2 linked regions of the Stegostoma tigrinum genome follow. The protein of the gene in region 1 interacts with the protein of each later gene in a biochemical or structural test. Links are inferred from orthologs where the notes say so. Each region holds a gene or a part of one and is shown on either strand. Other genes may lie near its edges.

Region 1 (7,198 bases):
GCTGTCCAATCCCTTGATTTCCGAGCAGATTTTTGTTTATCTCAGCCATAAGTACATTCAAAGATGGTGCAACCTCCAACCATTTGGGTCAAGATTCACAATACTTTGTGTAAAGAAATTTTGCATTCTCTCAGATCTAAATGGTTAGACTGTCATCCTGAAATTGTGCCCCTTGTTCTAGATTTCCCTGCTGGAGAAAAATATCTTTCAGAATATAGTTTGTCAAGCTCCTCCAGAATATTGAATGTTTCAATGAGATCAACTCTCATTGAACTTCAGAGAATATAAATCCACCTTAGCCTCTCATTATAGGATGATCCTCTCATCCCAGGGATCAATCTGGTGAATCTTTGCTGTACTGCCTCCATTATAAGTTATTTTAAATATGGAGATGAAAGTTCTCACATAATTTCACACACACTCTGCTTTATTATAGAAAGATTTCTTTATTCTATTACTCCACTCCTTCTGCATCATTTGCTGTCCTAATTGTGTGTTAATTTTTAATGTGTATTGTATGAGAATATGCAAGGCTCTACAAACATCAATGTTTCCAAGTTTACCTTTAAAATATATTCTGATTTTCTATTCTAATAAGCAAAGTGAATAACTTCACACTTTCCCATGTTACACTCTATCTGCCACCTTATTGCCCAATCAGTTCACATACCTTTATCTCTTTACAATTTCATTGTTCCTTCCTCACAGTTTGAATCTCAATTTTCCTAGTTGAAACATGTAGATTCACTGTTCTTTGTCTAAGTCATTAATATTGATTGTAAATAGCAAAGACTCCATCACTAATCTTTGGGGCACTCTTGAATCATAGTGTGCCAAATTGAAACAAACCCCATTTATTTCAAATCTCTAGGAACATAAGGGGCAAAGATAATTGAGAATTCAGCTATTTGGCCCATTCAGTCCGCTTCACCACTAGCCATGACTGATACGTTTCTCCACCCTATTCTCCTGCCTTCTCCCAATATCCTTCAATCCCCTTACCATATAGGAGCTATCTGATGAAGAGTCATCGTATGATACATTAACCCTGCTGTCTTCTCACAGGTGCTGTCAGACTTGCTGAGTTTTGAGATTCAAATTTCTGGCCTCTCTAGTACTTTGTTTTATCTCAGTAGTACATCCCACCTCTTGTATTCTAGGCGTCTCAAAATGAATGCTAACATTGCATTTGTCTTCCTAATTGCCAAGTGAGCCTGTATGTTAACTGTATGAGAATTGTGAACTAGGTCTCCTAAATTCCTCTGCTCTTTAGATTTCTGAAGCATTTCTTCATTTAGTATATAGTCTGTGCCTCCACTCTTCCTACCAAAATTAATAATCTTACATTTTCCCACATTGTATTCCATCTGCCATTTCTTTGCCCACACTCTTAGCCTTTGCAAGTTCTTCTACAGCATCCTGCCTCCTCAACATTACCTATCCCTCCACCTACCTTACTGTTATCTACAAACTTAGCAACATTATCTCAGTTCCTTCATCCAGATCGTCAATATATAATGGTAATAGTTGTGGCCCAAAGACAGATCCCTGCAGACCTCCACTAGTCACCAGTTGCCATCCTGAAAAAGACCCCTTCTTCCCACTCTCTGCCTTCTGCCAGTCAACCTCTCGTACCTTGACACTAACACATCTTATTTAGTAGCATTCTAGGTAGCACCTTGTCAAAGGCTTCTGAAAATCCAAATAGATCATGTCTACTGGCTCTCCTTTGTCTAACTTGCTCGCTACCTCCTCAAAAAATTCTAACAGAATTGTCAGGCATGATCTCTCTTCGAAAAGCCATGTTGAATCAGCCTGATTTTATCACTACTTCCAAATCTCCACAAATCTTGGCCTTAATAATGGACTCTAAAATCCTACCAATTACTGCATTAGGCTAACAAGGCTAGAATTTCCCATTTTCTGCACCTTCTTTCCTTCATGAGGGCCATTTCATTTGCCATTTTCCAGTCTCCTGGGACCTTTCTTGACTCCAGTAATTCCTGAAAGATCACCAACAATGCCTCCACAATTTCCTCAGCTACCTCCTTCAGAGCTCTGGGGTGCAGTCATAGAATCCCTACAGTGTGGAAGCAGGCCATTCAGCCCAATGAGCCCACACTGACCCTCCAAAGAGCATCCACACCCAACTCTCTACATTATCCCTCTAAGTGTACACTTTGCATGGCCAATCCACCCAACTTCCATATCCCTGGACACTATGAGCAATTTAGCATGGCCAAATCACCTAACCGGGACATCTTTGTACTGTGGCAAGAAATTGGAACACCCAGTGGAAATGTGCAAACACCACACAGACCTATAGTAGAATCAAACCCAGGTCCCTGTCAATGAGATAGCAGCTCTAACCACTGACCAAGCGTGCTGCCCCCAGTCCATTTGGTCCAGGCAGTTAAACTATCTTCAGACCTTTCAGTCACCTAGTTCACTACTCTCCTGCATGGAAGGAAATCTGGTCTGGTCTAATTATAACACTAGACCCGCAGCAAAGCGGTTTACTCCTATCTGGTCTCTGGGCAGCTCAGCAGTAAAGCCATTGATATCCACATCCTGTGAAAAAAAGTACAAAGTACAAAGAAACAAAACACAATACTCTGGGATAATGGGGACTGCAGATGCTGAAGAATCCAAGATAACAAAGTGTGGAGCTGGATGAACACAGCAGGCCAAGCAGCATCTCAGGAGCGCAAAAGCTGACGTTTCAGGCCTAGATCCTTGATCATCATCTCTGATGAAGGGTCTAGGCCCAAAACGTCAGGTTTTGTGCTCCTGAGATGCTGCTTGGCCTGCTGTGTTCATCCAGCTTCACACAATACTCTGGGTGTGGTCTCACCAGTGTTTAATACATTTGAAGCAAGAATTTTTTACTGTCTGCTTCCTGTTAGCTATCTCTTGATCTGCTGGACCTAGGGAATTTTGAAAAATCATAATCAGCATTTCGGCTGTACTTGCAACTATCTCTATTAGAACAGGAGAACATAGTCATTGATTGGGTCCTGCGGACTTGTTGGGGTTTTATTCCCTTGAGTTTGTCCGGCACGTTTTTTTACGCTGCAAGTATTAATTACCTTAATTTCACCAATCTTATTAGCCCCAAAGTTATCCATTTTTTTCCTGGTTTACAACTTGTATGGTCTGCGGAGAAGACAGATACACAATACTTGTCTCTTCCACTTACTCACTGTTTATGATCGTTTCTTCTGTCTTTAATAAGTATTCAATATGATAGTTTGTGTCACGACATCGGATATAACTGCACAGTAGACAATGTGCTGAGAATTTGTACTTGTTTCATCGCCTTTTCAGCTTTTTTTGTGTTCCATTTTACAAAGCTTTGTGGTAAACAAGGTTAGTTTATTATATACCTATTGCTGCGAGCCAAGAAGTTAAAAATATAAAGCTATTAGTTAAAATGCAGCTACACGAAGTGACATCTGCTTTGAAGAAAAAAAAACAGCTATGCTTAATCGTCTCGTCGGACAATCCTGTGCCAGATTAGTCAGCTCTCTTCTCTGTCTGCACAGGATCTTTACAACTGACCTGAAAATTGTGCATTTTTCGAGACCACTCTCACATATCGCCCGTTCGCGTGAAGGGATACACTGAATATTTTTTCAATGCCAATTTTGGAGGAGTTTGTTTCGAAACAAACCAAGTTAATAAAAGTTGTCTCAAACAAAAGAACTGCGGATGCTATAAATCAGGAACAAAAGCAAAGTTGCTGGAAAAGCTCAGCAGGTCTGGCAGCATCTGCGAAGGAGAAAACAGAATGAACGTTTCGGGTCCAGTGACCCTTCCTCAGAATTGAGGAACACAGAGGTTCTGAGGAAGGGTCACCGGACCCGAAATGTTAACTCTGTTTTCTCCTTCACAAAAGTTGTCTCAAACTAGTGCAGCGACGAGTTGCGGGCGTAAACCACAGAAAAAAAAAAGGCTTTCAACGTTGCCTGAGAGATCCTTTCCCCTTTCTGACTGCGTTGGCGAGTTGGGCGCTCTTTCTAGCTTAGAAAGGGAGTGATGCCAAGGGAGAGAGACTCTTCGATTGCGGCGGGACTGGCCTCCGAGGTGGAGGCGGGCGTTAGGACCCGGCTGGGGGCGGGGCTTCATTTACATGGGCGTGGGGAGGGGAGCTGCGGGAGGTGTGGCGCATGCGCTTAAGCCAGTCTGGAGCAGAGTGAGAGTGTTGCTGGAATTGAGCCGGAGTCTGGTCAGAAAGTGGGAAACGTACAGAGAAGAGTTGGATTAAAACAACCGCTGTCGCCCCCCCACCCCATCCCATCCACCCAGCACTGGGAGGAAGTGCAGTGCACCCTCAAATTGGATTACTTCCAGGCACTGGGGCTTCTTCCTTTCTGAACCTTTCGTTGTTTCCCTTTTGTTTGGGGAAATCCAGGGGACACAGATGTTTGTGGAAAGCTGAGGCGATGGTTTTTGCAGCAGGAACTCGGGAGCTTGCCTCGCAGAAGCCGCTGCTGCCTCCGCCACAGCCCGGGACGGTGCTGCTGCTTCTGCTCCAAGTTTCTGTGTGAGTAAGGGGACCGAGATTCTTATGATCCGCTTCATCACCTGTTTGTGCCCTGTGTCCTAAGGCAGTTCTGCTGGCTCTCTCCCGCTCCAAATCTAAACCAAATAAACACCATGTCGAAAGTGATTCAGAAGAAAAACCACTGGACCACCAAACTGCACGAAAGTGTGGTCTCTAAGAACAGGCAAGGGGAGCTGCCTTTTGTCATCTCAGGTGGGGCTGAGAGTGGAGAGTTTTCCTACTTGCGGGAGGCGAACCAGGATCAGATCGTTTACACCTCCGGCGAGCTGAGGGAAGGCGAGTTGCTGCTGGAAGTGGATGGAGTCCATGTGTCCGGGCTGCCCCTCTATGATGTCCGCGCCCTGGTCAGGAGCTGCAAGGGGCCGATCCGCCTGAAAACTGTCAAACAAGGTATGACCCTAGGCCAGTGCACCTCGCTACATACCACCAGATACGGTGGCGTGCACTGGCGGCTGCGCTAGCTTTACACACACGCACACAAACACACATACACGCACCCACTTGAGTCGCTATCGTCTCAAACACAGGGATCAGGTGGTCAGTGGTCGATTTTTTTTTGTTGCTTACCTGATTACTGTACTGTGCCGATCACAGTTGCAAAACCCCACCCTGAGACATGAACCAAAAATTCCACCAGTTGCTTGACAATGATCAACTGGATCTTGATGGTGTTTGTGTAGAGGTAGAATTCATTGGTCTACTGGGATCATATGTAGCGTTCTAAGTTTATATAGCACTTGGAAGATCCCTAGGTTTGTTCAAGTGGACTAAAGAAATGCTGAAGGCCACTGCTAGCTAGTCTCCTCTTGCCACTGCTGTAATCCAGGAGAGTAGCAACTTCAAATCTGCTTATAAATAAATACCAGCTTGAATCATAAGTTTACACTAATTTACTGATGTGACCTATTAGTTTTATAACAGGGTCCTTTTCAATACTTATTTCAGTACAAAATGTTTACTTCCACTTTGTCATTTTCAAATCTTTTAAATAACAAAGACTTGCCCAGAATAAGTTCAACAGCCTGACGAACTTTGCTGGTTGAAACAAAGGTTGACATTCATGTATCTTTCATGACTTCCAAAGTACGTTTGAAATGCAGTCACTCTTGTAACACAGGAGACACTAATTTGAACACAGCAAACTCCCATAAATAGCAACCAGTAATGACCACGTATTCTGTTTTTGTGATGTTGATTAGGATAAATTTTGACCTGGACATAGATAACTGCCCAGCTCTTTTGTTAAAATTGTTCAGTGTGACCTTTCACATCCTCCTGCAAGCAAATCGGATCTTGTTTTCTTATCTTATCTAAGAGGCAGTCCTCCAGTGGAGTGTCATCTGCCTTTTATACTAGAATGGGACTTGTGGTTTTCTGACTGAGCAGCAAGTGAGTTACCAATTCAGCTGTGAGGCTTCTTTACATCTTAGTACTCTGTATAAGCCTTGGTCACGGGTCTCCTGCAAAAATGTAAATTTTCTTCATTGACCTGAATGGGAATGTTTTTAAAGTTTTAATAATTGCTAATTTTAGTAATAGCTTTATGCAAATAAATAAATTATAAGAAATGAGTACCATTTAGTAAGTTTTATTGGTGGTTAAATAGTATTCAAATTGAAATCAAGTATTTCCTGTGCCCTGCAAGAGAAGCGAAAGCTGGAAAATGTTGGTGATCTGTCTTTAATTTGGCTACAAGTGATAGCGCAATTAATTCTGACTCTGGGGTCTGTGTAGAAATGCATTATAACCCATGTGTACAAATTAATTGCTGTATGCAGCATATGCTTAAGAAGGAATGTGTTCACCAACCTGTAGAGGAACGGCCTGCATGTCCCCATTTTTGTAAACAAAAAACAAATTCATTCTCGTGTCTTGTGTAAAGAACAGGAAGACATGAGCTTGGCAATGGAATTGATTTGGAAAGCCAACCCTATTGACCTTAAGGCTATAAAGACAATAAGGTCTGGTGGGTTCAACAGGTTGGGGATGGTGGGGAAGAGAGAGGATTTTGAAATTTTACTATCTAAAGGTACGAGCAGAGTTCAGTTTCAAGGCTGTAGTACATTACAAAGATTCTGATGACAAACTGTAAAAGCAAAACTTTTGCATTTTGTCGTCTGACTGTCTGTTGGTTGAATGTGTCTTGGCACATAAAGTTTGTTCTCTATACTCTGCACAGAAAAAGAAATCTTATTCATAAATTGGAAACAAAACTTTATAGTACAATTAGAGTTTGTAGTTGTCCATTTTAATCATTTTTTTCCCAGTAGCATTGTAGTAATTACAGAGCTCAGACATAATGTACTTGACATGTTGTTGTTATTCAGTGAAACCTTGCTTTTGTTAAACAAAAGCAACAGTCTTACCACCCCCCTCCTTTTTTTGCTGAATACAACCAGCATGATTATGTTTTTACAGAGATGGTGAATTTAATTGATCATATTGCATGAATAAATGGCAATGCACCAAAACAAGTGGTTTTAGGACCGATTTGAATTACGTTGGTTATATTTAGACCTTTAAAGATGATGTTACCAGTAATGGTACATTCTCACATTTTGTCATCTGAATAAATATGGGTCACTTGTCTAAGGTTCAAAGCACATTCTAAGAAACAGATTTCGTATCAAA
Region 2 (7,490 bases), on another chromosome or scaffold:
TCAGTTTTGGTATCTTTACAGCCAGAAACATATACTTGCCATGGAGACAATGTAACAAAGATTCAGCAAACTATTTCCTGGGATAGAAGGATTGTCCTGTGAAGCAAGATTGAATGGACTAAACATTTATTTTCTGGACTTAAGAATGGAGGTGGTGATCTCAATTAAACAAAATTCTTACAGGAGTTGACAGTATAGTTTGAGTAGAATGTTTCCACTGATGGACAAATCTATAACTTGGAGGGACAGCTCCAGAATAAGAGCTAGAGCAGAGAAGATTGAGAAGAAGAATTTCCTCATGCAGAATGTACTGACTCTTCATAATTCTGTCCTTGAGGACTATGGAGACTCAAATCATTGAATATATTCAAGACAGATGTTAATTTAAGTGTTATAAAAATAGTGCAGGGAAGTGGCATTGAATAGAAGATCAGCTGTGAGGTCACTAAATGGTGTAGCAGGCTGAAGTGGCCGACTCACTTATTTTAATTTATGGAAACTAACATTCTGTTCTCCAAACAGAGTTCACAGCAAAAGAATGGGTACATGCTCTCTCCCTGATTGAGTTAGTTAATAATGTATTAATGACTCGGAGGGAGGGAAGTGAAGATACTGAACCAAATTTACAGATAGACAACACTAAAAATAGATATAAAGGCAGGTTGTGAGAAGCATACAAATAGTTCACAGAGACAGGCTGATAGGTTAAGTGGGCAAAAAGTTAGCAAATAGACTGTAGTGTGGAAAAATCTAAAGTTGTTCTTTTTGGAAGGAAAACTAAAACAAAATTGGACAAAAAATTGCAGAAAGGTGCAACACAAAGGAATCGGGGATACTTGTGCATGGAACAGAGAAAGCTAACACAGATGCAGCAATTAATCAGGAATGCTAATTGAATATTGATCCCTATTTCAAGGTGTTGGAATAGATGAGTCAGAAATCTTACTGCAATTGTACAAGGTATAGTGAGACCACAACTCAAGTGCTGTGTGCAGTTTTGGTCCCCTCAATTGAGGGAAGATATTACTTCATGGAAGGCAATTCAGACAAGGTTCACTAGAAAGATCCCTGCTTTGGAGGGACTAAGATCATAAGACAGCAGAAATTGGGCCATTTAGCCTATCATGTCTGCTCTGCTATTCAATCAGGTTTCACAACCCCATTCTCCTGCTTCCCCCCCCCCCCCCCAAAAAAATTACACATTCTTGATGCTAAGGGTTATCTGTCTTAAATGTACTCAATTGTCTGATGAGCAAAGGCTAAAGAGGTTAGGACTCACTGGAGTTTAGAAGAACAAGCAGTGGTGATCTCGTCGAGACATACAGGATTCTTCAGAAGCCTGACAGGGTAAGTGCTGAGGGGGATGTGGAGCCTCATGAGAGTCTAGGGCCAGAGGCACAGACTCAGAATAAGAGGGGCACCAATTTACAACTGAGATGAGGAAGAATTTCCTCTCAGATGTTTGAGTGTCTTTGGAATTCTTTGCCAAAAGAGAGCTCTGGGACCAGTGTCCTTGTGTACATTTTAAGGCTGAGGTAGATAGGTACTTGATCAGTAGAAGAATCAAGGACTATGGAGAGAGGGCAGAGCAGGAAAGTGGATGTGAGGAATGTCAGATCAGCCATGATCTTGTTGAATGGTGCAGCAGTCTTGAGGGGCTAAATGGTCTACTCCTGTTCCTATTTCTTATGGATTTACGAACTGATCTCAACTCTTTCCTGCCATTTTCTCAATGCTGGATTCCCTTATTGATGAAAAATCTCTCTCAGCCTTGAATAGACTTTACCCAGAATGCTGCAGTGACTGGTTAAGAATTCCTCAAATGAAATTCCTCATCTGTCTTTAACAGGCAATCCTTCACTTGGAGATTAAGCCCTCTGATACTAGTCTTTTCCACAAGGGAAGCATCTTCCTGCATCTACCCCAATAAGCCTCCAAAAAAAATCTCATCTGTTTCAATATTCTCATTCTACTAAATACCAATAAATTCAAGCCCAAACTACTCAACCTCTCTGCATAAGAAAATCCCTCCATAAACTAACCTAATGAATCTTTTCTGGTCTGCCTCAAATGTCATTATATCTTTGCTTAAATCATGGGCCCAAAGATGTTCACAGTATTCTACTTGTGGTCTGACTTGTATCTTTCATAGATGAATCAAAACCTCTTAAATAAACCTATTCCCTTTGAAGTAAAGGCTAATTATGCATTTGAAATTCCTGCTACCCACTGAATTTGAATGCTAGCTTTTTAGTAGTGAGGATCCCAAATCCTTGAGCAGCAGTTTCCTGCAATCTTGCCATTTTAGATAATATTCAGCTATTCTAATCTCCCCACTAAAGTGCATAACCTTACAGATGGAATATAATGTGAAAAAATAAGAATTTTTCCCCCCCACTGTCTAAATCTCTCCACACACAGTACATCATCCTTGTATTTTCTGAAAACTGATATTCCATTCACTTCCTTTCCCCAAGCCAGTGTTGTTGTAAATTGTGGCCCCAGCACTCATTCTTGTGGCATCCCATTAGTTACAGGTTGCAATCTTGAAAAATGATGGCTTTATCCTAACTCTATTCAATTAGCTAGCCAATCCTTTATCCATGCTAATAGAATTATCCCTTGCACCACTAGCTCTTAGGCACCATCTTATTGAAAGCCATTTAGAAATCAAAATATATAACACTTCCTCTAACTTATTAGAGCAAAGAATTCTAACAAATTTGTCAGGCATGATTTCCTGTTTATGAAGCTAACTCTGCTTAATTGTATTATGCATTTCTAAGTGGTCTTGCTTTAGATCCTTAATGATAGATTCAGATTGCTTCCCAATTACATTAAGCTAAGGCTTATTATTTGTATTCATCTCCTTTTTTTGGGTAAGGGTGTTGGATTGGCAGTTCTTCAGTCCTCTGAAAACTTTCCAGAATTCTTGGAAGACTACTACCATTCCAGCTACTTCCTTTAATACTCTAGGATTCAACTCAGATCCAAAAGCCCAATTAGTTCAAGTTACATTTCTTCCCTTTTTTACCCTCTTAGAATCTTCAACATGAAGACTGATTTAAAGTACAGTTGGTCCCCAATTTACAAACATCTGACATCATGATCACCTGTACATATGAATGCAATCCTATACATGGTTGTAATTTTAATGATCCAACATATGAACATTTTCTGTATTTACAAATACCTACTTTATATTATCCTGCATTATGTTCCAACATGCATAAAGATTAATTTGGAAGTGGATTCAAGAATGGAACCCATTGCAACCTGATTACCTCTTGGAATTTTTCAAGATTTTTGCCATTTCCTAGTTTCCCCTCACCTCATTATCTAAATGGCCTATGGCATGTTCACTTTGACCTCATGCTTCCTTTTGAAATATTTAAATAAGGTCTTACTCCTAATTTTTGTATTACTTGCTAGTTTGTGTTCACTTCTTCTTCCCCCCCCCCCCCCACTGTCCTTTGGTGGCTTTTAAAACTTGTCCAATTCTCTGGGCTACCATTAACTGTCACATTGTAGGTCCTCAGCTTGGTACTAACCTTGACTTCCTTGATTAAACATAGTCAGGTTTACTCCCATCATACAGATATACAGTCCAGAAACACATCAAGTCCAACTCGTCCATGCTGGCCAGATGGCCAATATAAATCTAGACCTATTTGCCAGCATCTGGTTCGTACCCCCTTAAGCGTTTCCTATTCATATACCCATCCAGATACCTTTTAAGTGTTGTAAACCTACCAGCCTCCACCACCTCCTCTGGCAGCTCATTCCACACAGGCACCACCGTCTGAGAGAGCGTGTTGCCCCTTAAGTCCTTTTTATATCTTTCCCCTCTCACCTTAAAACGTTTTTGAAGAAGGGTTCCAACGCGAAACGTTGACTTTTCCTGCTCCTCGGATGCTGTCTGACCTACTGTGCTTTTCCAGCTCTGCATTTTTGACCCCATCATATCTGCGTCCACCAACACCCCAGACCGCGTGTTCCAGACTCCTACCACTCAAAAATAACTTGCCCCTCACATCTCCTTTAAATTTCCTTCCCACACCTTAAATGTATAAAACATAATTGTAATACGTATAAAAAAAGTGAACTCGAACTGATCTACAGAAATATACAAAATAAGTGAACCTAACAATATCGTGTAGAACATGGTTACATATAAAATAATGCGAATTTAAGACGTTTTGCTACTTATGAAGTTTAGCTTCGGGGAAACATTTCGTTTGCACAGAGAATTTAATAGATTGATGTATCCTTGCCTTCACTGATGAGCGTATTCTCACCGCGATTGAGGCTTCACATTGGTTACGGAGGCGGAAGGCCCCGGCGACGAGGCGGGCGCTGATTGGCGCATTCCAGCGGCGGCAGTTTCAAACGCAAGGGGGCGGTTAGAGGCCCAAGTCCGGAGAGACCGGGGATCGGGGAGCGATCGTGGGGGAGGGGAGTGACAGGGGTATTTAGAAGAGACCCGAGGGATCAGTGAGGCCCAGGGCCGGTGACAGCAGTCCCACACCGGCACCATGAGTCAGGCACAGCCGCTAACGAAAGAGAACAGGCGGCCCCCCTTCAGGAGGAAATCCTCAGTGGCATCCAGCAGCCGCAGCTCCCCAGAGCCAGCGGACAGCAGCAGACGGTGAGTGAATGGAAGCCGGTGGTGGGGAGTCTGGAGTTGAGCTTGCACCCGTCCTTCACCAATTCCCTCTCCCTTTCAATGTTGTTCCGTTAACACTAATCTTCACATATAGTTATACCTTAATTGAATAACAAGCAGAAACAATTAAGTAAACTCGTCAGTTTGGTCATGCTTTTGCTTAATACATGTTTGAAAATTTCTCTGAACTCGTGTGCTTTGGTACTTAATAGCATGCAACAAAAGTCATAGAGCTGTACACGGTAGGCAAATAGGAAGCTGGAAGCAGGCAACGTTTCGGGTATTACCCTTGTCAGGACTAAGTAAAATCGCAAACCGAAAGGTAGCTTAAGAGATCATATTTAGTTTAGTTTTGATTTTAACAAGGTGATCTCTGACTGAAACAGAAACACATAGAATCACAGATTTGAACAGTATGAAAACAGATGCTTTGGTCTAACCTATGCTGACCAGATATCCCAAACATATCCAGTTCTATTTCCCTCTAAACCCTTCCTATTCATGTACCCAGCCAGGGCCTTTTCAATGTTGTAATTGTACCAGCATCCACCACTTCCTCTGGCAGCTCATTTCATACATGCACCACCCTCTGAATGAAGATGTTGCCTCTTCGATCCTTTTTAAATCTTTTCCCCTCTCTCCTTAAACCTATGTCCTCTAGCTTTCAACCCCCTCACCCTGAGAAAAGATCTTTACTATACCTCCCAAATCCCTGCCCCTCATGATTTTATAAACCCCTATAAGGTCACTCCCTCAGCCTCTGATGCTACAGGGAAAATAGCCCCCGTCTATTTAGCCTCTCGCTATAGCTCAAACCCTTCAGCCCTTGTAACATCCATGTAAAACTTTTCTTAACCCTTCCTAGTTTCACAATACCCTTCCTATTGTAGGGAGACCAGAATTGCATGCAGTATTATAATAGTGGCCTAATCAATGTCCTGTACAGGCACTACATGACCTCCCAACTCCAAAATTCAATGCACTGACTAATAAAGGTAAGCGTACTAAATGCCTTCTTCATTATCCTATCGACCTATGACTTCACTTTCAAGGAACTATGAACCTGTACTCCGAGGTTTCTTTGTTCAGCCAAAATCCCCAAGATCTTACCATTAAAGGTTTAAGTCCTGCCTTGCTTTGCCTTTCCGCATTGCAACACCTCACATTTACCTACATCTGCCACTCATTGACCCATTGGCCCATCTGGTCAAGATCCCGTTGTACTCTGAGGCGATCTTCTCCATTGTCAACTACACCTTCAATTTTGATGTCATCTGCAAATTTACTAACTATACTTCCTAAGCTCACATTCAAATGAAAAGCAGTGGAAAATCTAAAGCAAATTCTTGATATAAGCTTTACATTAACATAGCTCAATTATTTTTGATTTTACACTTTTATTATTTCAAAGTCTTCTACCTTTTGAATTTTTTATTTAGTTTCTTTTGATGTTTTTCAAGTTAATTGGACAACATTTATTTTTGGAAAGTGTTTTCTTCTTACTTGAGTATGTCACGACATGGGAGCTTAGCTATTTAAGTAAATGTTTCTCAGTCAGCTTTGCATCGAAGCTGAAGTTGCTTGTCTGCATGACACTATTGATTTTACTGACATTGATTTTTGTGTGGGGATTCGATTTAATTGTAATGCATATAGGATGTACTTTGATATTCTAGAATTGATGTTCTTGGAAACATTGGCATACGTCTTCCAAGTTATTCCTGATTCCATGTCAACATTTTCTGGATTGTTTGTACCACATTGCTATTGTCTATGCCAAAACTGAATTGTTAGTTACCCACTTTCCATGCTATCCATATACTCCCATAAAATTATCAATAGTGATTGTGAGTTCCCTGCTGTTACCACGTAAGCTGGAAAATCATGTCTATAATGATGGGACAGCCATCTGATTTCATCAGAAATAATTTGTATTTATATGGTGACTTTAATGTCAGGAAACAACCAAAAATACTTTGAAGCAGCATCATGAATAAAAATTTGACATCAAGCCACAGAAGGAGATATTAGGCCAGATAGAATCATAGAGCTGTACAGCACAGAAACTGACCCTTTGGTCCAACTTGTCTCTGCCAACCAGATATTCTAAATTAATCTAGCCCCATTTGCCAGTATTTTGCCCATTATTCCTTAAAACACTTCCTATTTATACACCCATCCAGATGTCTTTTAAATGTTATAATTGTACCATGCTCCAACGCCACATCCTCTGGCAGCTCATTTCAACACGTGCCATTCTCTGCATGAAACCATTGTCCCTTAGGCCCCCTCTCACCTTAAACCTATGTTCTCTAATTTTGGACTCCCCTACTCTGGAGCAAAGGGTACCCTTGGCTCTTCACCCTATTCATACCTCTCATGTTTTTATAAACCTCAATAAGGTCACCCCTCGGCCTCCAATGTTCCGGGGAAAATACCTGTAGCCTATTCAGCCTCTCCATATAGCTCAAGCCCTCCAACCCTGGTGACATCCTTGTAAAGCTTTTCTGAACCTTTTCAAATTTTACAACATCTTTCCTACAGCAGGGAGACCAGAATTGAATGCGGTATTCCGATTGTAGATGATCCATTATCCTGACCAGCTGCAACATGACCTTCCAACTCCTGAACTCAATGCAATAACGAATTGAATGCCGTATTACAAAGGTAGCCGAACCAATATCCTGACCAGCTGCAACATGACCTCCCAACTCCTACACTTAATGAACTGACCATAAAGGCAAGAGTACTAAACTATCCTGTCTATCTGTGACTCTAGCTTCAAGGAACTGAGTCTACACCCCGAGCTCTCATTGTTTGGCCA

The links. The genes of interacting proteins can lie anywhere in the genome.
Region 2: the proteins of magi1b (region 1) and net1 form a complex in vitro, tested with the Homo sapiens proteins (3 studies listed by BioGRID and IntAct, with this or other methods). The link is inferred for Stegostoma tigrinum from reciprocal best matches to the Homo sapiens genes MAGI1 and NET1.

The regions. Positions count from the first base shown.
Region 1 is NC_081364.1:46,519,438-46,526,635, forward strand, and holds the start of magi1b (membrane-associated guanylate kinase, WW and PDZ domain-containing protein 1b), read left to right. Parts: upstream 1-4,189; 5' UTR 4,190-4,659; coding exon 4,660-4,957; intron 4,958-7,198. UniProt on the Homo sapiens protein: Plays a role in coupling actin fibers to cell junctions in endothelial cells, via its interaction with AMOTL2 and CDH5. May regulate acid-induced ASIC3 currents by modulating its expression at the cell surface.
Region 2 is NC_081378.1:11,120,953-11,128,442, forward strand, and holds the start of net1 (neuroepithelial cell-transforming gene 1 protein), read left to right. Parts: upstream 1-4,487; 5' UTR 4,488-4,535; coding exon 4,536-4,648; intron 4,649-7,490. UniProt on the Homo sapiens protein: Acts as a guanine nucleotide exchange factor (GEF) for RhoA GTPase. May be involved in activation of the SAPK/JNK pathway Stimulates genotoxic stress-induced RHOB activity in breast cancer cells leading to their cell death.